2 linked regions of the Diceros bicornis minor genome follow. The protein of the gene in region 1 interacts with the protein of each later gene in a pairwise test. Links are inferred from orthologs where the notes say so. Each region holds a gene or a part of one and is shown on either strand. Other genes may lie near its edges.

Region 1 (11,025 bases):
TGGGTGCCCCCCATCCCTGGCCCAGAGCCCTGGAGGCACAATCTCATTCTTTTGGCTTCTTACCCCATGTCCTCCTAATTTCCTTCTTCCCTACTGTCCTGCTGCACCCAAGCCCTCTCTCCCCATTTCTTGTCCTCATAGCCAGGTCCCTGCTTAGCCCTCCCATCAGTATTTCTGGTCCCCCTGCCCAACCCCACCAACCTGTTTGCAGTCTGCGGCCATGAGGTTGAGGCTGCTGGTGGAGACGGTGAGAGTGATTGGCATTCCAGCAAATTTCAGGTTACTCCTCCCCAGGATGGAGCTGAGCGGGCGGCTACAGGGCTAGGGAAGGGCCCAAGGGTCTTAGAAGCTGGGGGTTCCCAACACCAAGAGACCACCACAATCCTGCCCCCCACCTGCTTTCCCCTGCTCCTCCACATCTCCCAGCAGCACCGCTAGCCCATCGACCCCAGGTACCTTTCTCCTCCTTGTGGCCCCCTTAGCACCCGGCACAGCCTCACACACCAGACTGATGGCCTCCCTGGGGAAAGAGGGGTACTCAGACCCAGGCTTGCCTCCACTTGGCTGGGGCTGCCCCAGGGCTGGGGGAGGGGAAGACCAGGCCAGACTCCCAGGGCACTCCAGGCTCTCTGTCGTGGTGGATTGAATTAAGGGCCTTTAATATTTGATGACACTGAGAGGCCGCTTCCTGGCTGATTGGGTTAGGGCCTCAATGGGTATGGCCCCACCCCTTTCCAGCTACCAAATGTCCCATTCCCTTCCCAAAGGCAGCAGCAACCTTCCATCTACCCCCATTTTCTACTCAAGCTCCAGCTGCCAGCTGCCTCTGCCACCTCCCCCACAGCTCCCCAGGCTGGATAAGTAAGGAGGATCCAGGCCAGAGTTGCCTCTTTTCATTCAGACTTAGACTTACTCCCCTAACTTTCTCTCACTCCCCTTTACCACCCTAAGATAAGCCATCACTAGCACCACCACCAAGTGACCCACTTCCCACCTCCCCGCACTAATCCCAGGACTTCCATAATCCGCCCCCCCCCGCCCCCCACTAACCTGGTGACCTGAGTCCGGGTGTTGAAGTCTAGGGCACGCATTGACTGCAGGACCTCCACACAGCCCATGTACTGAGGGGACGGATGGGAGGATAACAAGTCAGCCGCCTCCCCCCAACCCCTTCAAAGGGCCCTAGGACTTTCCCCTACGTTGTCCCTAAGGGAAGTAAAGATGAAGTTCTGCCCACTGCCCGTGGCTACATCCCACAACATGCAAGACAACAGGGAATGAGGGGAAAAGGAAAGGGCAGGCTAGGAGGACCTCATGCATCTGGGAAGAGAATTTGGAGGGGAGTGACAGGCATTAGGTGGGATGGAGTGACATCTCCAGAAAGGGGGAGGAGACTGGAGGGGACAATCAAGAGTCACTCATTCCAACACTTACTAAGGCCTTCAATGTGCTGGGCATTGTGCTAAGCATGGCAGGGCGGGGGTGGGAGAGTCACAAGAAGGAAGGGGGCCCAGGCAGAGCTGGAAAGGAAGGGACTACAGAATTGGAGGAGGGGCAAGAAAGGTTTAACAAACAGGACACTGAAACCAAGGGAGTTGTTGGGGGAGAGCAGGAAAAAAAGACTCCAGCTTTGCTGAAGTGAGCAGAGGAACTGCAGGGGTCTGGGAGGGAGTAGGAGGGAAGATGTTCACTCACCCGAACCAAGTAGGAAACCCCCGGTCCCATGACTTTGTCGTTGGGATGCAGCCAGCCCCGCGTGGGCTTATTGACAAAGCTCCCGTGGCGGGTCCACTCCTCGCCCCCCAGCTGGCCCCCTTCCACCCGAGTCCTGCGCCCGCCGCCTCCACTCAGCTTGTTCATGTCCTGGAGGAGGGGCAGGGGGCCTGAGTCCGGCATGGCTGCCCCTAAGATCCCCTCCCCATCCTCGGCTGCCCTTCCTGGCTCCCCCTTGGGCCCCGGGCGCCCCCCAGCCGGATTGGCCAGCTTCAAGTTGCTCATCCGGGGGAAGAAGGAGCACAGGGTAGTGGGACTATCGTCTCCAGGCAGAGGTGGCAGGATGGGCCCCAGGGATGAGGCTGATGGGGAAGGCAGCTCCTCCGGTGGGGTGGACCCTGAAGCCCCCTCCTCCAGCGATGACAGAGACTCATTCCGAAGTGGGTTGTACTTGGGCTTGGGGGGCAGGAGATCCATGGCTGGAGTGAGAGGGAGGCTGCTGCCCAGCCCGGCCCCCCTGCCAGTCAGGGCAAGGGGGCCAGGCAGGGGGCATCCCCAGGCCTTTAGCCTGATCGGACCTCTATGGCCCAGAGATCTCAGGGGTCCTGGGAAGGGAGAGGGACGAGTGGCTCTGGCTCCCCCGCTCAGACCCAGACAGTTTCAGGCCCCATCTATGCCCAGCGTGGAGCCTCTTCTCTGGCTGAGAGGAGAGAGACCAGGCTGGACCTAGAGCTGCCTGGCTCCTCCCCAGGGGCGGGGAGCTAAGGGGAGAGACCAATCCCGAGGACAGTGCTGACTCACAGGCTCCGAGGGGCTGAGCCCCCACCAGTGCCCCAACCTAGAACCCTTGCAGGGGTAGAACTCTCCATGCCCCCCTGCCCCATACAAACAATTAGTAATCTGGGGAGGAGTAAAGTGGGAGTGGGTGTGGGAGGGAAGGACGGAGGAGTGAAAGGAAAGGAGGGAGATAAGAGGAGGTCTAGATCAATCCAAACCGGACATGGGCAGGCCAAAGGGAGCAGGAAGCTGAGGGAGGGTAGAGGGGAATGAGGGAGGAAACAGAGACAGCTGGGGGTGGAAAAGGGAGGGGATCCCTGAGCTCAGCATTTCCCTTCCTATCCTGGTTGAACACTCAAATTCCCCCATCCTCCAGCCCAGGCCACCCCCCACCACTACCACACAGTGGGGTGGTGGCCCCAGGGAGCCTGGGCCATTAGCATCCTCTGTTACAACAGCTGTGGACTGGAGCTAAAGAAACGGGAAAGGAAGGAAGTGGTCCCAGCGGATGCAGAGGGGCCAAGAGGAAGGGCAAAGCTGGTGAAGTAAGGAAAATAACATCCAACCTGGGCGGTGCATCAGGGAGCCACCAGGCAGGAGCTGGAGCAGAGGACAGGCTGAGGGAGCCTTGTTCTCTATGCATGGCACCTACCATGCCAAGGAGCAGCGGCCCACGGCCAAGCACTCTTCTGTCCCTCCTTTCCACAAGCCTCATTAGCAAAGCAAGCTGTCAAGGGTAGAAGGGAGGTGGGGGGGTGGGCAGGGCACTGACACTAAGCTCAGCTCCCTGGACTTGCCAGGTATGCTCACACTCCTCCTGTAGTGTGACTGGGGAGGGTGCAGGTGTCCACCATAGAGCACAGTGCCCCTCACATCAGGGGCAGGATCTGGCCAGAGGAGGTGGGAAAGTGAAACAGTTCTCCAAGAGAAGTGGGTGCTACAGGCCATGAAGGGATAGAGGGGACAGAAGACAAATCTATGCTAAGTACGGGAGAAAAGGGTGACAGGAGAAGATGGGCTGATGCTGGACACAGGGAACAGTCCCAAACTCATTCCTTCCACCCACACTTCCTGCCACAGCTCTGCTTCAAGGGGCCATGGAGGAAGTTGGAAAGTAACCAAAAAATAAATAGTAAAAAATACATTTACCTCCCAGGCTCACCTCGGAATTACTCTACTCTTAGATTTACTTCAGAAGATAAAAATTCACAAATAATCATAAGATTATAGTGATTGCCACTACTAGCACTTAAAACGTGTTAGACACTGTGCTAAACTCTTTCAGCTCCCCTTGGTCCTCATCCAAGGAGAGTTTTGTCACTCCATCTACCACTCCTGAGAAGGAATTCTATCACTGCTTTTCCTAAGGCCTCTGCGCTCAGGGACAGAGAGAATGAAGAAAGGATTCTGCCATAGGCTCACACCCTCAACTCACACACACCAGGATGTCCTCATCTTTAGAGATTGGCGTTCTGTGGGAGCCTGCAGGATCTAGAGGCAGGGAATGGCCAACAGGTGTGGGTATTTGGAAGAAAAGAAAGAGGAAGTAGGGCTCCTAACATTTGCATAGGAAAAAAGGAGATTGCCTACTGGGAGTCCCAGTGATTGGGTGAGGGGCAGAAGCTGCGTGTGGCTTCTCAGCCCAGCAGGGAGGAGGAGGCAAGAGCAGTGGGAAGTAGCAGGAAATGGCGAAAGCCTCAGGAATGTTTCCAGAAGGGAAGGCTGGGTAAGCGGGACCAGGAGGAATGCCCAGACAATAACTCTGGTTAGGAGAAGGGGAAGAGCCAGAGAAGTGGTGGGGGCTGAGGAGTCCCTTAAAAGAATCAAACAGCAAAAAAGGACACTGTCCCCTACACCCACTCCAAGCTACCGTTTTCTGGTGGTAGAAAACTTTCGCTCCCGTCACACACCAGCAAATCCATGGCCCCACCCAGCTCCCGAGGTACAGGTATGAGACACAGCTGTTTCTGGGGTGGAGTCAGTCCTGGGAAGGGAAACTCAGAGTGGGGCTGGGAATCTATGAGCAAGTCTCTCTCCCACTCTCTTGCCAAACCCCAAGTCCAGCCCCCTTCAAGTAGGTCCAGCCTTGGAAGGGGGTAAGGGAGAGGAAAACGGCTGCCTCTAATCTCGCACTCCTCAGAGCCAGCGTTGGGAACTTTGACTTCCCACGCGGTGGAGCATGAGAGCTCAGGAAACTGAGCCCAATGCCCAAAAGAGAAACAGGTGGAGCTTCTGGGATTGAAGACAAAGCTTCTAAGGCGTGACCTGGGTCCCACAGGGATAAAGCTCCTGAGGGGGCGTGGTCCCCTAGCACGCGTGCATCAGACACTTCTAGGAGACGAGGCTTCTGGACAATCAGATGTAGATTGAGGAAGGGGCGGGGCTTCTAGAGGGGCGGCGCCCATAGGGAGGCGTGGCTTCACGAATTCGAATACAGTAGTTCTGTGAGGGGCAGGGTTTTGCGCTTTTGGGAGATAGGCTTTTTGATAGGAGTTAGCGGAGAATCGTCGCGAGGAGGCGGAGTTTCGGGGAGTTGGAAGGACTAACGTAAGGCTTCTTGTAGTAGGCCTTGGAAGCGTGTCTGGGGGTGGGACTTCCAGGAAAACTGGGTGACAGGGTGGGGTCCGAGACAATAAATATAAAACAAGTGGGGATTCGGGGAGCCCCCTGAAGTTGGGAGGTGGGACTTCCGGAGAGGGGGTCTTGGGGGCGGGACTTATAGATGAAGACCGGAAGTAGGGTCCCCGGAGAGGGGTTCCGGGGTGGAGGAGTGGGTCATCAAAAGAGAAAAAAAAGTCCCAACTCACCAGGGCCTCATGGAGTCTCCGCACCGCACCGCGGGCAGATTTGGTGCCGGATCACGCCACTGCCTCTTTAGGTCGCCGCTCCAACTTTCTCCCCGGGCCTGGCCTCCCTGGAGAAACTTTATTGCACTCACTTCCGGCCTCACTAACCCCTGACCCTCTACCTCACCGTCCCTCCTTCACCCGTCCCACTTTCCCGAATCAGCCAATGGCAGCGCGAGAACGCGCACGGGAGCAGCGACAGCCAATAAGAGGCCTATTTTTGAGCTACGCTCGTTCTTGAGAAACGTAAGAAGTGCACTCCAATAAGGACTCGAGGAGAAGCAAATCCAAGCCAATCGGAGGCTTGAAGGTGGACTTGTCCCGCCTTAAGCCAAAGGGGCCAATAGGAAGCGCGAGCGGCGTGTTTGAAAGCGAGGCCAAGGAGGGTGGGAGCGCGTGCTGCTGGGAGTTGTTTGGAGGTTGGCGGCGCGGAGCTGGCGGTCTTCAGGCAGAGTGATCATGTCGCACAAACAAATTTACTATTCGGACAAATACGACGACGAGGAGTTCGAATACCGGTTAGTGCTGGCGGGGGGCCATAACGAGGTCGTGAGTTTTGACAAATGAGGACCCAAGGAGTTAGTAACAGGGACTGAAGCGACAGAATCGGCGCATGCGCGGAGGTTAACGGGACGGGCGTGATAGTTGAGAGCGTAAGGCGCATGCGCGAAGGGTGGGCGGTGATTGTAAAAGAAACAAAGTGGTAGTGAATTTGGAGTCGACCCTGTTGGGAGGAGGTGTAGGTGGGCGTGGTTAGAGTGTTAGCTTGCTGACCACCTTCACCTTTGCGGGTTTCTGGAACCTTCAACTTTATTGAGCAAGTTGAACTTGCCCTGACTGCTCGTATCACGGCAACACCATAGAACCTTAGAGCCTACTGGGAAAAGGTGGCAAAGGCGGAGCTCGAATTTTCCTCGCGTCTTCAATGCGAGGGGAGTTCTGAGAGAGCCTGAGTGCTGCTCATTAATTCATGGAAAAGGGACGTAGTTGTCTGGCTTGTTTTAGGAAAGGAGCTTGGAGGAATTGGAGTGGAATAAAACTGGCCAGGAACATTGAAAAAAGACTTAACATGAACCTAATACATGCCCTTCAAATATTTGAAGGGCATCTATTTAGGAAACAATTATGGAGTGCTTATAGGTTTCAGGTGTTCTGCTAAAGTGCAAGGGTAAGCCATGGTCTCTGCTTTCAACAAACCTACAAATCTGTGAAATACTGACAGACTTCAGAAAAAAGTGATAATTGGTATGATAGAGATGGGAGCACCTATGGTAGAGATAGGACTTGGCCAAGGATGGTGAAGAAAGGAATCCCTATGGAGTTTGCATTTGATAAATCCTAAATCCATAATTCTAGATTGGAAAATTAGAGAAGACAAAAATTCTAGAAATGTTGTCATTCCACTAACCTGTATTAGGTGTAATACTTTAAACAACTTCCTAGTTTGTATCTTCTCAACTGAAGAACATAGAATGGAAATTGCTTTTCTTGTGTTTCTTCTCCAACATAATGCAGGGAGAACTCGGTGTGTGCTGACAGATACATAACCATCTTTATGCCAGGTCCTTGGGAAAAGACCCCAGGCTCTGCTTGGATCCAGTTAACTGTCTTCCTCAGCTGTTTTCCTCTACATCTGAGCTAAGCTAACTAAAACTGCCTATAACATCTTTGCAGGACTAGGGAGAAGTCACTAGTTTGATCCTCTGGAAGATGTAAGTCTTGGCAGTGGTATTTTGGCTTAAGAAAGTTGTTTTCTGTTTTGTTTTTTTTTTCCCCTTGGTCTAATTAGGTATTGAAGCCAAACTTTGTGCCAGGGGCTTGTTAGAATATAAGCTATTTTCAGACATTTAGACTAGAATTATCTCTTTGGAAAAATGTCTGTTACTAGCACAGAGAGTGCATTTAGTAAATTTTCACTGAGCGTGATGAAGTTGATCTGGGTTAGCCTGATTGAAGTCAGGGTAATAATTTCTTTGCCATGAAAGAAGACTTATCTTGGTTGGGGGAACATGGAGTTTCCCAAAAGACGTCTCATGGCACATCCCTTCAGAGTTAGGAAAATGAGATTCAGGATATATTTTAAAGGATAAGACATTTGTGTTTCATCCTTTGTGATGGCTGTTCCACACAGCACTCCATAATAGGCCTTTCTTGTCCACAAAATCACCTCTCTCCCCTCCTTACCAATCCTGTTCCAAACCACCTTTAATAATTAATAGTGTGTGTGCTGTGGGGCTCCCATTATATTGTTTTAGGGTAATCAACTGGAAGACTGTAAGCCCTGAGAAGGCAGAGGCAGTGTATCAACATGCCTGGAACTCAGGTGCTTGTTCACTTGGGTTATTCATTAGGTTGTACTTGTTAATATACTTTTGTGAGGATTTACATAACTTGGCCTTTACTTCTAGCTGCCTCTACCCCACAATAAGATTATATAAACTCTTTGCCATCAGAAACCGGTTTCTCTTTTCTTTCCCCTCTTGGCTTTGTATGCAGGCCCTTGTCTAACAGACTGTACCCAGTACTGACACAATTTCCCCACCTTCCCATGTTTCTATTACAGGCATGTCATGTTGCCCAAGGACATAGCCAAGCTGGTCCCTAAAACCCATTTGATGTCGGAATCGGAATGGAGGAATCTGGGCGTTCAACAGAGTCAGGGATGGGTTCATTATATGATCCATGAACCAGGTCAGTGCAAAGGCTGAAAGCAAACATGTAGGACTGCTTCACTGAGAGAATGAAGGGATGATAAGATCGCATAACCCAAAGGAATAGTGGGAAGGGGAGGGTGGTTTCCTGGTTCCTTACCCCATCAGCCAGCTAGAAAAACTGGAGTGACCAAAAATAAGAATAAGAGTGAAGTATCTGCAAAGTTCAGAGACAACCTGTCACTGAAAAACCTCCTTTAATCTCTAATTCAGTTAGAGGGTACTCTTTTTTTTTTTTTTTTTTTTTTAAGGCCACATATACCCTGGTAGAGGTTATGGCTCCTGCTTCATTCTCCATCAGAAAGCAAATTCTTGGATGTGTTCCAAAATAAGCCAAGGAAAGTATATTTATTGATAAGACACCAGACACTAAGCTGCCAGGCAAAACTAATAAAGGACACCCCGGGGCTGGACAAACATAGCAAAAGAGCTGATATTAACAATTCTGTACTTGGCAGACAGGCCAGGCTGCTGGGTCTGCTTCTAAGGCCATATGCTTAAATCTTAATTTAGTTAGAAAGATCTGAGTGGGTGATAGCTGGGAGGTGGGAGTGGGATACACTGTAGGTTGTGCATAGAATGATGTGAGCTTGTCTCTGAGATTCCACTCACTCTTTCAGAACCTCACATCTTGCTGTTCCGGCGGCCGCTCCCGAAGAAGCCAAAGAAATGAAGCTGGCGAGCTGCTTTTCAGCCTCAAGCTTTACACAGCTGTCCTCACTTGCTAACATCTTTCTGATAACATTATTATGTTGCCTTCTTGTTTCTCACTTTGATATTTCAAGGATGTTCAATACACTGTTTGAATGTGCTGGTGACTGCTTTGCTTCTTGAGCAGAGCCAACAGTACCACGGCCCAGCCAGATGAATGCTTTTTGGGCTACAGCCTCAGCTGAGTGTGACCCCAGAAGCCATGTGAGCTCTGTATCCAGCAGAACACACTTGGTTGATGGAGGAAGCATCTGAGAATAAGACCATGGCTGTTACAGGGATTGTGTAAACTTGCTGTTTTGTTTTTTTTTCTGCCAGGTGTTCTATGTATGGTGATTTGTTTCAATGTATTGGAAACTTTCCATTTTATTCAAGAATTCTGTTCCATTTAAAGCCTTGATTAAAGAGGAAGTTTTTATAATCCTAATTGTAAAGGTTTTTCCCCCGTCTCAGGGTGAGCATCACATTCAATATCATGATTCTAATTATCTGCCCTCTTCAGTTAGATAATGAAGCTCAGCTCTTGCTGATATGAGGTTTATTTCAACATTCTACTAACTGGTTTTTAATCTACTTTAAGCAGACTTGCTGTCAAATTGCTACTGAAATATATTACACTCTAACTACCGGCCTAAGATAGAGGTTATATAGGGACAACATCATCTCATCAAAACAAATGAACGGTTTCCTACAGTCAGGGATGCTGCCTTTAACATAGTCCCGACATTTGAAGGGCATACGAATGTAAGGGGAAGAGGCTGTACCCTCTAATTTTAAAAATAACAGTAGTACTAAGTAAGGGAGATTAATCTCCCCCCTTCTCCGTCTTCCATCCATTGTATTCCTAGAGCAGTAGTAAAGTGTGGTCCCTGAACTGGAAGCATCAACATCACCTGGAAACTCATTAGAAATGCATATTCTTGGGCTCCACCCTTGACTTAACTGAATCAGAAATGCTGAGGGTTGGGCTCAGCGACATTTTAACAAGCTCTCCAGGCGCTTCTGGTGCACACTCAAGCTTGAGAACCACTGGTAAAGGATTGGACCAGAGCTGATGTTGGGGGGGGGGGTCAAATATCACCATTACTACTAATAAAGATAATGGAGCATATGACTTATGTCATTAGGCAAATGAGACTTTTTTTAGACCTGAGCTTCTTTTAATTGAAAAAAAACAAGGCTTATTGAGAAAGAATGGTCTAGAAGCCTGGCTCTAGCATTCACTTTAGTGTTTTGTGGCAGTTGTCTGGCATCCCTTCACCTTTCTAAGCCTGCTGCCAATCTGTAAAATGGGCATCATTTCAGAGGATACTGAGAAGAGTGAAATGAGGCCAGTTGTGGTTCAGCAGTCCTCCAAATGATGAATGAATTGTAGACCTTTACCACAGAAAACAGTCTCAGACCAGAAGCATCAACGTGACATGAGAGCTGGTTAAATGCAGATCTCTGACCCCACCCAAACCTGAATCCGGGAGATTTAATCAGCATATTTAAAAAGTTCCCAGATGAGGGCCGGCCCCATGGCTTAGCAGTTAAGTGTGTGCGCTCCGCTGCTGGCGGCCGGGGTTTGGATCCCGGTCGCGCACCGACACACCACTTCTCCCGCCATGCTGAGGCTGCGTCCCACATACAGCAACTAGAAGGATGTGCAGCTATGACATACAACTATCTACTGGGGCGTTGGGGGAAATAAATAAATAAAATTAAAAAAAAAAAAAGTTCCCAGATGATTAGTATGAACATTAAGGTTCAAGAAGCATTTTTAGACCAAAGGCAACTGAGAGTAAGCTAGGATGATGTGAGAATCCCAGGTGGACACCTGGCACTCCCTAGTCTCTGCCCTCACTTGTACCTATATGACCAATAATTGAGAAAGGTGATGTTTAAGTATCATCTGGAGCAAGGTGGGGGAAGACTTTTTCTTGTCAAAGAGGGTTAAGTAATTAGCTTTATCGTTTATAATAAAGAAATGAAAGTTCCACACACTAAAAGCTCACCTCCAGGATCTTCCTATCTCACAGGCAATGCTGACAATTATTCTTGGTGTCCTTCCAACTTCCATCTGTTACAATATAAAATCCTTTCTGACACCAGTACCAGCCCCGACCACTTGGCCTAGAATTAGAGTCATGGTTAATGAAAACAGACAGCATATGCATGCCAAGAATTTGAATACAGGACGGAGGTTACAGTCAAGTCTCCCCTTTACTTCCAGCACCAGAAGAGAGCACCCCAAAGTCCTTGGAGCATCTCCAACCACAGCTCCT
Region 2 (10,719 bases), on another chromosome or scaffold:
AGCAGATTTAGGGAGGGCAGGCAGCAGGGCACCACCCCCCAGGGGGCCTTGAGTCCAGGACAGCCCAGCTGGGTTGTTACAAGCCTCCCATGGCCCTTCAGGATTCCAGAGGCTCAGAGCAGCCATTCACTGACGCCCACTGCTGAGAAGCCAGCCCCTCCCTGCCCCAGAGCCCAGCCCAGCCAGGGATGTAGCCGGTGGGACAGGTCAGGAGAGGGATGGGCCCTAAGCCTGGGGACTGTGGCCTGGAGGCTGAGTGGAAGCCCATGAGGGGGCCAGAGGGACAAGGACCCTGAGCTGGTCACCGTGGCCAGACTCTGGGCACAGAGGAGGTGAGGGGCCCACATCAGTCTGAGGACTGAGGACTACTGGACTTTTCTTGTTTTCTGATCAAGGTAGGTGGGTATTTGTGTGGCGGGGAGGGATAGGACCAAGGGATGGATGGGGTGGGGGCTGTAGGCTCAGTGAGGGGATGGGGATTTGGTGACGTTAGGACAAATAGATCTCAGAGGTCCTGTCCTCTGGCCTGCTATCTGTGTGTGGGTGTGCACATCAAGGGTAGATGTTTGTGGTTAAGCGCAGGGTAAACGTGCACGTGCCCAGGTATGTGTGGTTGAGAATAAGGGCAGGAGGTCAGGGCTGCAGGGACATGTCAAGTGGGGAGGTGATGGAGGCTGGCACAGTCTTGGGTACAAGTATGTGGCTGGAGAGGGATGAGGGGCTGGGACGGCACTGTGAGGGATGATGCAGACCCCCTGCTCCAGACCTTAGGGACCTGGCTACAGGGTCATCTCCCCTCTCCCACGAATCCCTCCCGCTAGCCCTGGCCCGGCCCTCGAAGCATCATTTCCCAGCCTGCTATGTTGAAAGCAACAGAAACAACTTTGTTCCAACCAGTAAATTATATGGAGCCCAGGGTGCACACCAGCTGGTCATCTTGGGGCCCTGGAGCCCCTCTCGGGAATGGCTCATCCCCACAGACCACCAGCCAGAGTCCGCAGGCCGCTTCTCTCCTCAGCTCCAGGTGGCTCATTGTATCTACCCCAGTGCTGCGCCGCCTTCTCCAGGACCACCCCGGCCACAGAGTGTTTCAAGAGTGTCCGCACCACTCTCCTTGCTTCACTTCTGTGCCCCTCTGATCCTTCTTTCACACTGCCCCGGAGGACCGTTCCCACTTGCAGATGCAACCAGGTCATCTTCCAGGGCCTGAGCATCGTTGTGGCCTGGCCTGGGCTGCAGTGCACCTGTGGCCTTGTCTCCCCCTCACCCCTGATACAGCCTAGGAGCCCACGGTGGATTTTCAGAAGGATGCCACACTTCCTCACTTTTGGGCCTGCCATGTGAATTACCCCAGCCCCAGGCCCAGCCTCTCTCTCTTTTGACACCAAAGACTGAGTTAATGCTTCCCCTCAATGCTCCCTGCCCCCGGCGTAGTCCTGCCTGCTTCACCACCTGGCCGGGTCCCCAGGGGCAAGGACTGTGGTGTCCATTGGACAAGTCTCCTCCTGCGAACACTTGTTACTCCACTTCCCCAGCCTCCCCTTCTCCAGAGCCCTCTTCAGCTCTGGCCCTGATTCTGGCTCTCCTTCTGGCTCCAGCAGCAGGCCAGCCCAGGGCTCTTTCCTGGTTCTGGGTAGGAGCCCCAAACGCAGACCCTGTTCCCAAGCCAAACTGGTCATCCCTTAGCCTCCTACCTGGATGCCTGAACTCCTATTTTGGCTGCTGTGGGTGGGAACCCAGAGCCTTCTAGCCCCTTCTGGAAGAGACAGAGGCAGACAGGCTTCCAATAACCACCACCCTCCTCCAGGGTCCCTTGAACAAGGCCCCTTCAGACTTGGCAGTGCTTTTTTTTTTTGCACCTCTAGGCATTTGTGTTTTTGATAACTAGTATAAAACTCAAGCCATTGAGGATCCCACAATTTTATATCCTGATATATTGTCTGTTTTCTCATTGTTAAAAATTACATTTAGAAATTAAGCTTTTATATACATATATTTAGCAATTTTTAAAATTATCAAGTGAACCTCAATTTTAAAAACTATTTCATAACTTAGAGGCTTTATAATATTAAAATAATAAATTATGCCCTAATGAACAATTACTGTATAACATTTCATATGATTTAAATATTTTGCCTTTTAAAATAATGACTTATTTTACAAGACCCTGGCAAACACTGACAAGTAAAAATGAATTTGCTACTTAGCAAAGAAGTTGTCATGCTTTTTATTAACTAGGAATCAAAGAAATGCAAACTGAGCACCTCACCCCTGCGTGGGCCCTTCTCTGTTGATTCCTCAGGGGAAGACGAAAGACCTGGATGGACCACGATTTTGAGATGCAGCCTCACAGACCCTCCAGCCCTGGAAACTCCATCTCCCGCAACCACCTACTGGGGCGTCCTGCCCACCCCTCAAAGCTCCCTGGAGGGGTGTCCCCCCTCATCCCTGTCCTCAGGAAGACCATCCGTCTGGATGCCTTCCCCCAAAGCCACATCCCACAGACTTCCAGCCGACCGGGCCTTGGAGCCAGAGCCCGGAGTGTGTCCCCACAGGAGACTGGTAATAGCCTTGGGCCCAGGAAGCTCAGCTCCATCTCCTTAACGCTCCGTCAGAACAGCCAGGCATGGTCCCTGGGCCCCCTACCCTCTCACTGGGAAGAGTTGCCCACCCTGGGCAGGGAGGCTGCCACTCATGGAGGAGGGAGGCTGTCCACTCCAGGCTCACGGTCCGTGACCTTAGTGCCAGGGGGCAGAGTCCACTCTGAAGGCCCAGGGAACCCAGGTCTGGCCAAACCCAGTAGGATGCCCATAGTGGAGAAGCCCCTAGTGAGTTCCTACCTGGCCCTACCATTCCAATCCCGGTTAGCCCAGAATCCTCTAGGCCCTTCAGGGTCAGGCTCGGTGGTTCAGAGGCACCCTGTCCCAACAAGTGCCCATGTGCCTACCAGAGCTTCCCCAGGAAGAGGCAAGCCCCGGTCCAGGGGTATCCCGAGACCCCGGCTGCATCTCCAAAGGGCCACCCCCACCATGGGGCCTGCGACGGCCGTGGATTTGGCTACTCTGGACACAGTGAGGTCAGGCACAGCCAGACATTTAGCTACAATGGCCACCAACAGACCTAGCTTGGCTATCAATTTGGCCACACCAAACACATCCAGACTGGACACAGGCATGGAGTTCCCTGCTCTGGATACCAAACTGGGCACAGCCATCGCCTTGGCTACAGCAGGCACAACCAAGCCGGGCATGGTCACGGACTTGGTAACCCCAGAGCCAGGCAAGCTGGGCAAAGTCATAGCTACAGCAGGCACAGCCAAGCCAGATACAACCACAGGGGGCACAGCTGTGCATTTGGCAGCACCAGACCCAGTCAAGGTGGACACAGCCAGGCCAGACACAGCCATGGCTTTGGCTAGAGCAAATACAGCCAAGTTGGACATAACTACGGATTCTCTTGCTCTGGACACAAGGAAGCTGGGTACAGCCATGAGTTTGGTTGTGCCAGTCACTCCAGACCCAGCCACTGGGGAGACCACACTGGACAGTGTCATTAACCTGACCACATCAGCCACCTACACACTGATGCCAAGCAGAAGCATAGCACCAGCCCTGGACCATGCGACAGCAGATGCTGCCACAGACTGGGCCACAGAGCCCGCCACACTGGACCTGGCCAGAGAAACCAAAGGTAAATGCAAAGAGCTTGGCTGGGGATGCACTGGGCTGCTGTGGGGGGATGGGGGGGTGGGGGTGGCGGTTATGGGCCTGGAGATGGATTATGCTTGGATCAATTGGAAAGGGAGGGGGAACTCAAGGTTCAGAGTCTTCAGAGTCAAATGCACTGGGGGAAAAGGGAACAGGGTTGAGGGACAGAACACGGGATACACCCTGAGCTGGGTCTCAACCTGCCAGCTTGAGGTCAGATTGAGGGAAGCTACCAGAATGAAGGTTTATGGGGTAACTTGTGGAGGAGCAATTATGCTCATTTTTTTTTTTTTTGTGAGGAAGATCAGCCCTGAGCTAACATCCATGCTAATCCTCCTCTTTTTGCTGAGGGAGACCGGCTCTGAGCTAACATCTATTGCCAATTCTCCTACCTTTTTCTCCCCAAAGCCCCAGTAGATAGTTGTATGTCATAGTTGCACATCCTTCTAGGTGCTGTATGTGGGACGCGGCCTCAGCATGGCCGGAAAAGCGGTGTGTCGGTGCGCGCCCAGGATCTGAACCCCGGCCGCCAGTAGCGGAGCGGCGCACTTAACCGCTAAGCCATGGGGCTGGCCCCATGCTCATTCTTTTAGTATCTTCCATGGTTGTTTCTTTGTTCCCCGAAGAGCAGGAACGATCAGGTGATCTATAGGTGAGTCCAGCTTTAAAAGCAAACCATCTCCATTAAAACACAGACCAGCACCTCAGTAAGTGGTGATTTGTCTAAAAGACATCCCTGCAGCACTCCTCTGGATGTCAACAGTGACCTCACCTGAGACCTGCTAAATCACGCACATTCAGTATTTTGGGAAAATAGTTGTTGCGTGTAAAAGGTGCCTGACCTGGAATTCTCTTTCTTGGGCCTCTACCCCCAGCCCTTTAGTCCTGAAAGGTGAGTTGGAGACTGGGAGATGTGAAAATCCTCCATAGAACTATAAATAGGTCAACACAAGGGCTACAAGTTCATTTGGTCTCAGAGAGGCTGTGACATGTCTAAAGTCACACAGCTTGTTGGTGGCAGTAAGCTAATGGGAACCCAGGTCTTGGAATTCTACTTTGGGCAGTCTCATTCCCGACATTTCAAAGGCTCAGAGATTCTGGATCTGGTAGATGCTTGGAAGGCATCCAGTCCAATGCCTTAATTGGGTCTTGGGTTGTCAGACTCCTGTGCATTGCACTCTGCACACTGTCTGGGGGAGCTCCCCCAGGCTCTGGTCTTCACTTCTCCCTCAGCAACCTCAGCTCTCCCTCCATCTTCAGCCCAGACCCCTCTCCTGAAATGCAAATGTGGACAGCTAGCAGCCTGCTGGACCCTCCACCCAGATGTCTCTTGAGCATGTCCAGAGGCAGCCCTTTTCTCTCTGAACTGACTCCTGCCTTCCTGATCTCGCCCTCTCAGCTGCAGGCACCGCCACACCAGATACCTGGGTATCCTCTTCCTCATCTTACTCGCTCCTCATCTCATCCAGTCTATTTGCAAGTCTGTTGATTCACCTCCTCAGTGCTTGGCTGTCTGTTTCCTCCTCGCCATCCCTCTGTCCAGTGTTTCCACAGCCTCCCCCCCCCCGCATTTCCCCCAGTGCTCTCCCTCATCCACACAGCTGCCACAAGGACCCACATATTTGATGGCAGCACTTTCGGCTTCACGGCCGTTGGTGACTCACCATTGTCTTTCCTTAAAGCCCAAGTCCTTAGCCTGGCTTCTAAGGCTTCGGACTTCTCCAAACTCTTAGCTCTATATCCCTGTTTGGAATTTTCCCTGCTTCAGCTGCACCAGGAGCTCTGAGTTGTCCACTCACACCCTGCAGCTCTCACCTCTGGGTCTCCTCACCCCTGCTGCCCCCTCTCCACAGAGTGCCCTTCCCTTCTTCTCTCTCATCTCTGTATTTGCCTTTCCATCTTGTCCCTCACATCCTCCAAGAAATCTGCCCAAATGCCTCTCTTCCCAGGATGCCCACCTCCCTGCACTCACAGTACCCCCTGCCTACCCCACCCCACTGCATTAGGACAGTCCAGCTTGCTGTCTCTCTGGTTAGACCTAGAGCCCTTTGTGGATGAGGATGGTGGTCCTCATCCCTGTCCCCCCAGGGCCTGGCAATATGCTGTCCATTATTGTTGACTAACTGCATGAAAGATTTTTCTGATGGGTAAATTGAGGCTCAGGAAAGTTCCTGACCAAGCTCAAGGTCACAGGGCTCATCATTCCCGGAGCCAGGCCTGGAACCCGGTCCCCTGACTCAGGGCTCTACAGCCGCCCGCGCCGGGACAGGACCGCGCTGAGCCAGCGCCAACATCCCAATCAGCGCGTGACTCGCGCGCGCATCGCCGCCCGCTGCTGCCGGCGGTCCCCTGCGACCCCCGCTCCGCCCCAGCCTAAGGGGTAAGAGGCTGGGAGCAGGATCCAGCGGGAGGGACCAGGTTGGGATGCGGGCGCTTTCCCCGGCCCGGCATCCCGAGCCTGCAGGCACAGCGCCCCCGCGCGCCTCCCCGGCCGCCCGCAGCCAGGACCGGGGGCCGGCTCCGGCGTGCGGACGGGCAGGGAGCGGGTGCGGGCGCGGGCGCGGGCGGGGGAGGGGCCCTCGGCGGGGCCGGCGGGCGCGCGGGTCACGTGGTGCGGGTGGCAGCAGCGGCGGCGGGGGCGGCGGCGGCATCGGTGCGCGCGGGCAGGGGCAGCGCGGCGCCGAGCGAGCGGAGGCGAGGTCCCGAGCGGGCGCGGCGGCGCGGGGCGCAGGGGCGGCGCGGCCGGGCGGCGGGCGGGGCGGGTGAGCGGAGAGCGCCAAGGGGCGAGGCCCGGCTGCAGGGGCCGCTCGGCCCAGGAGGAGTCCGCGCCCCGCGCAGCCTTGAAGCCTCGCTCCCTGAGCATCTTCCCGGAGGAACGGAGACAAAGAAGGATTCATGTCCAAAGGTAGGGCGGCCGGCTCGGCCACCGGCGACCGCCGGGAGGAGGCTGCGGCCCGGAAAAGCCCGGCTGGAGGTGCTACCAGGGGGAGGGTTGCTGCGCCAAGGAGCCCACGCGCGGTGACATAGGCACGGACACACGCACACACGGTGGCACACATTCCAGGATATACATGCCCGCAGAAATGCACACACGGGCAAATGGGGAGATACAGAGACCTACGGACACGCAAGCATGGACCCAGATGCGCGCAGAAAGACCCATGCTGGAGCACACCAAGACACGCACACACATGCACACCACGCACAGGTATCAGGGCCTACCGCCAGACGAGGGACCTGTGCTCTGACACAGACCCCTTCCCCCACACAGACAGGCGCACACTGAGACAGGCACCAGCTGGTGGTCTCCAAGGGAACTCCTTGGCCTCCGGAGGACTGGGATGGGGGAAGGAGGTGTCCCAGGGCCCTTTGCTCCTGCGAATGGGAAAGGAATAAGATATCTTTTGTGATTCTTTTTCTGAGAGCCAGAGCTGGAGCTGGGGTGGACTGGAATTGCCTTTGCTTGTGGGGGCGGGGTCTTGAAGGCTGCTAGGGGCTGGGGGCTGGGGAGGATCTCCGGCTTAGGAAGGAAGAACCTCCCCACCGTCCCACCCCCACTAAGCCACGGAGGCAGGTGCTATTCTGGAAAGGTTCCTCCCCCTGCTGCCACCTTCCCAACTGAGGGGTGGGGTTCCTGGGCTAGACAAAGACAAAGCCATTCATTTACTTATGAAACATAGCACCGGGGGCCTTGCTTGGCATGGGGATGGAGGGGTGCTATTTCTGTGGGGGACTCAGCCAGAGCTGAGTCAGGGGGACAGTGCCTCTCCCTGGAGCACTGATGGGGCAGGTGGCTCCTGGCAGGGGATGCTGCAAACAGATCACCTCCTCTCCAGGGGCTCTGGGAGAGCTGGAAGCATCTATCCAGGATGGCATACTTGAGCTACATCCTGCTGTGATCCCATCCTGAGCTCTTCCCCACTTGGGGAGCACCCCTCCAATCCCTGTTGCAGGGGAGGGAGAAGGTCTCTCTTAACAGAGTCTACCGCCTTAGCTGTGTCCTACACGAGAGCAGTTTGCTGGCTGGGGGTCAGCTGCTCTGCAAAGGGCTCAGCATCTGAGGGAGGAGAAAGATGATGGGTCTAAAATGACATCTGCCTCCCTATGAGGCATTCATTCATTCATTCATTCATTGCTGAGTGCCTCTGTTACGCTAGGTACATTGGGGCACAGAGATCAATGAGACGTGGCCTCTGCCCTGAAGAAGGCTGGGAACTAGCATATGTTCAATGCCAGGTAATTTATGTCCGTGCTTTTGTATCACCTTCACAGCAATCCAGCAAGGTAGGTACTATCCACATTGTCCTGAGGAGAAAACTGAGGCTTATAGGGGTCACCTAGCCAGCAGTCAAGCCTGGGTCAGCTGCCCATTTGAGGATGGCATGGTGGGAGCAGAGGAGCTGTGGGGGCAGAGGATGGAGCCACACAATCAACTCCAGAGCAGCATTTGTCCTGGGCCCTGGATGTCTTTGTGTACTTGTCAGTGGGACCTTGGGGGCAAGGACCTTGTCTAGGGTCCACAAGTGTCCTTGGCATTTAGTCTGGGGTTTGGCTGGATTAGGCTCCCATTTGACAGCATATGAAATGGCCTGGATGGGATGGAATGAATGAATGAATGAATGGATGAATGAATTTATTGAGTACCAAGGTACTCAGGGGGCCAAGGCAGCACAGAAGAGGGGCGTCCACATCAGACATGAAAGCAGAGGCTTTCCTGAGGGGTGGTACTTGGGCTGAGTGGTGAAGAGTAGGAGTTAGTCAGGGGCTGGAGTGGGCAAAGGGTCTTCCAGCAAAGGCTGGGACATAGTGACCCGCCGCATGTTTGCAGGACTTGTGGCTGATGAGTGGTGGCTGTTAGCATGTGACTGGCATGTAATTGGCATATGGTTGGGAGGGGCGACTTGCCAGCAGATGCTTTATACTGTGTGCACATGGATGCCAGTAGGTGCCTGCTGGAAGAATGAAGGTAAGATGGCTCATGTCCTGGACCTGCAGCAGGCCTGCTGGGGCCCCTAGAAGTTGCCTGGGAATCTGGTGGGCAGGCCCCTTCTCGCAACCAGGGTCTGTCTTTTGGGAATGATCTTTTAGAATGCTGCAGTTGACGGGCCAGGGAGGACACACGCTTTATAAGAATACTTACAAAAACTCCCTTAATTAAGTACAAGATTCACTTTCCAGGGCTATAAAATGGGGTAAGACCCCCCCCCCCCCCCCACAAACACACACTTAGATGGATCTATCTCACAACACAGGTTGTGGAGACCAAATGGGCTTGGCTGTAGAGGCACGGGGGGACATGGAAAGGGCCAGCCGTGTCAGCAGCTGTGCAGGGAATATGGGGCATTGCTGGCCCCCATTGCAGGTGTGCTGAGTGGGGCCCAGGAGCCACGTGCGGAGAGTGGAGGAGCAGGCTGGGCTGCTGAGAGTCAGCTGCTGCGGGGCTGAGCCAATCTTGCTGCCGTCTGGCAACAGCTTCCTGGGAAGCAGGAGGGAGCCACGCCAGGCCCTGGGGAGATCCCGAGGCTTTGTCAGATTTGGCTGTGCCTGGGAGTGACAAGGACAGAACAGTTTCCCATTGGGGGAGAGAGTCTTGCCAGGACTGGTGGAAAGACCAGGTGGCAGGGGTATAAGAACAGACTTCTGGCTGGGTTTGGGGGTGGGGGAGGGAGGTACTCCTGTCCCCTCTCCCTCTTGCCCATCTGCTGCTCCATCAATCCTCCCTGTAAGCTCGAGACTCTGCAGGGCCGTAACCATGAACCATAGGATTTTAGAATGGCAGCACTGGAAGGGGTCCTCAAGAGATCGTGAGTCCAATAACTACGCTGTGTAATTAGCATCCGGGGCACCTCCCTCTAACAAGTGTTTTCACATGCTTTGCTTCACTTCCCCTCCTGACAAGCCCGTAAACGTGAAAGGGGGAGAGGCAAGAGGGTCTGGAAGTGTGAGGCGCTGTGCTGGGTGCTTCCAGGCATCGTACCTCATGTAATGCTCACCACAGCCTTCATCATCATCCTAACCATTTTACAGATGAGGAAGCAGGCTCAGAGCGGGGAGGTGGTTCGTCCAAGTCCACAAAGCTGGCAAGTAGTGGAGGCAGGCTCTTTCCACTTTCGACACACACTCATTTTGTGGGTGGGGAAATGGATGCTCTATCCTGAAACTCACCCTGGTGGACAGTGTCCTGATGAGGAATCGCACAGATTTCTCTTGTGTGTGAACATACCCATGATCTGCTAGACCCAGGGGGGGCCTTTCCCTCAGCCTCCCCTTTGTTCTGCCACCCACCATCCAAGATACACTATGTCATCTTAGGCAAGTGACTGCCCCTATATGGGGCTTATCCTCTCTCTCCTGGTCAAAAGGTGAGACTTATTCCTCCCATAGATTTAAAACTATGGCTAGGAGGGTGTCTGGGGTTCCTCAGGGCCCAGACACCCCTAGTTTGCCTCAGTGCTCATGGAACAGAGGGGACACTGAGGCTGGGAGACAGGAGTGGTGCTCACTCTGCAGAGAGTGGGTAGCCCTATTTGCTTCTGAAAGACAAAGCAACTGAAGTCAGTGGCAGACAGTCCATAGATGTTAGGTCCAGTATCCTAAAAGGTCTTTGCCCTTTATTTGGGGAGGCAGGACTCAGGTGAGAATAACCCCAGACATCTCTTAGACCAGTAGTTCTCTACTGGGGCAGTGTTGCCCTTAGGTGACATTTGGCACTGTCTGGAGATATTTTTGTTTGTCACAACTGGGGGGCTACTACTGGCATCTACTGGAGGCCAGGGATGCCAGTAAACATCCTGTGGTGCACAGGAGAGCCCCCCACAATAATTATCTAGCCCAAAATGTCAATAGCGCCAAGGTGGAGAAACCCCTGGATCAGACATACAGATGTGGTGCTTTGTAGCAATGAGGTACATTTGAATTTCCCCAGCAACTGGAGAATCTGGGTACTGGTCCAGATTTTGCATCTGACTTGCTGTGTTCTTAAGCAGGTCCTAAGAACCCTTTCCTCTCTAAG

Evidence for each region.
Region 2: the proteins of CKS1B (region 1) and SEPTIN3 interact in binary tests that used the Homo sapiens proteins (3 or more experiments, as listed by UniProt). The two-hybrid records come from large-scale screens. The link is inferred for Diceros bicornis minor from reciprocal best matches to the Homo sapiens genes CKS1B and SEPTIN3.

What each region holds. Positions count from the first base shown.
Region 1 is NC_080743.1:58,916,443-58,927,467, forward strand, and holds CKS1B (cyclin-dependent kinases regulatory subunit 1), read left to right. Parts: upstream 1-5,734; 5' UTR 5,735-5,795; coding exon 5,796-5,854; intron 5,855-7,899; coding exon 7,900-8,027; intron 8,028-8,667; coding exon 8,668-8,720; 3' UTR 8,721-9,179; downstream 9,180-11,025. Other genes in the region: SHC1 (SHC-transforming protein 1), read right to left, coding at 202-321, 457-520, 1,051-1,121, 1,696-2,190.
Region 2 is NC_080764.1:8,560,479-8,571,197, reverse strand, and holds the start of SEPTIN3 (neuronal-specific septin-3), read left to right. Parts: upstream 1-6,372; 5' UTR 6,373-6,602; coding exon 6,603-6,612; intron 6,613-10,719. UniProt on the Homo sapiens protein: Filament-forming cytoskeletal GTPase. May play a role in cytokinesis.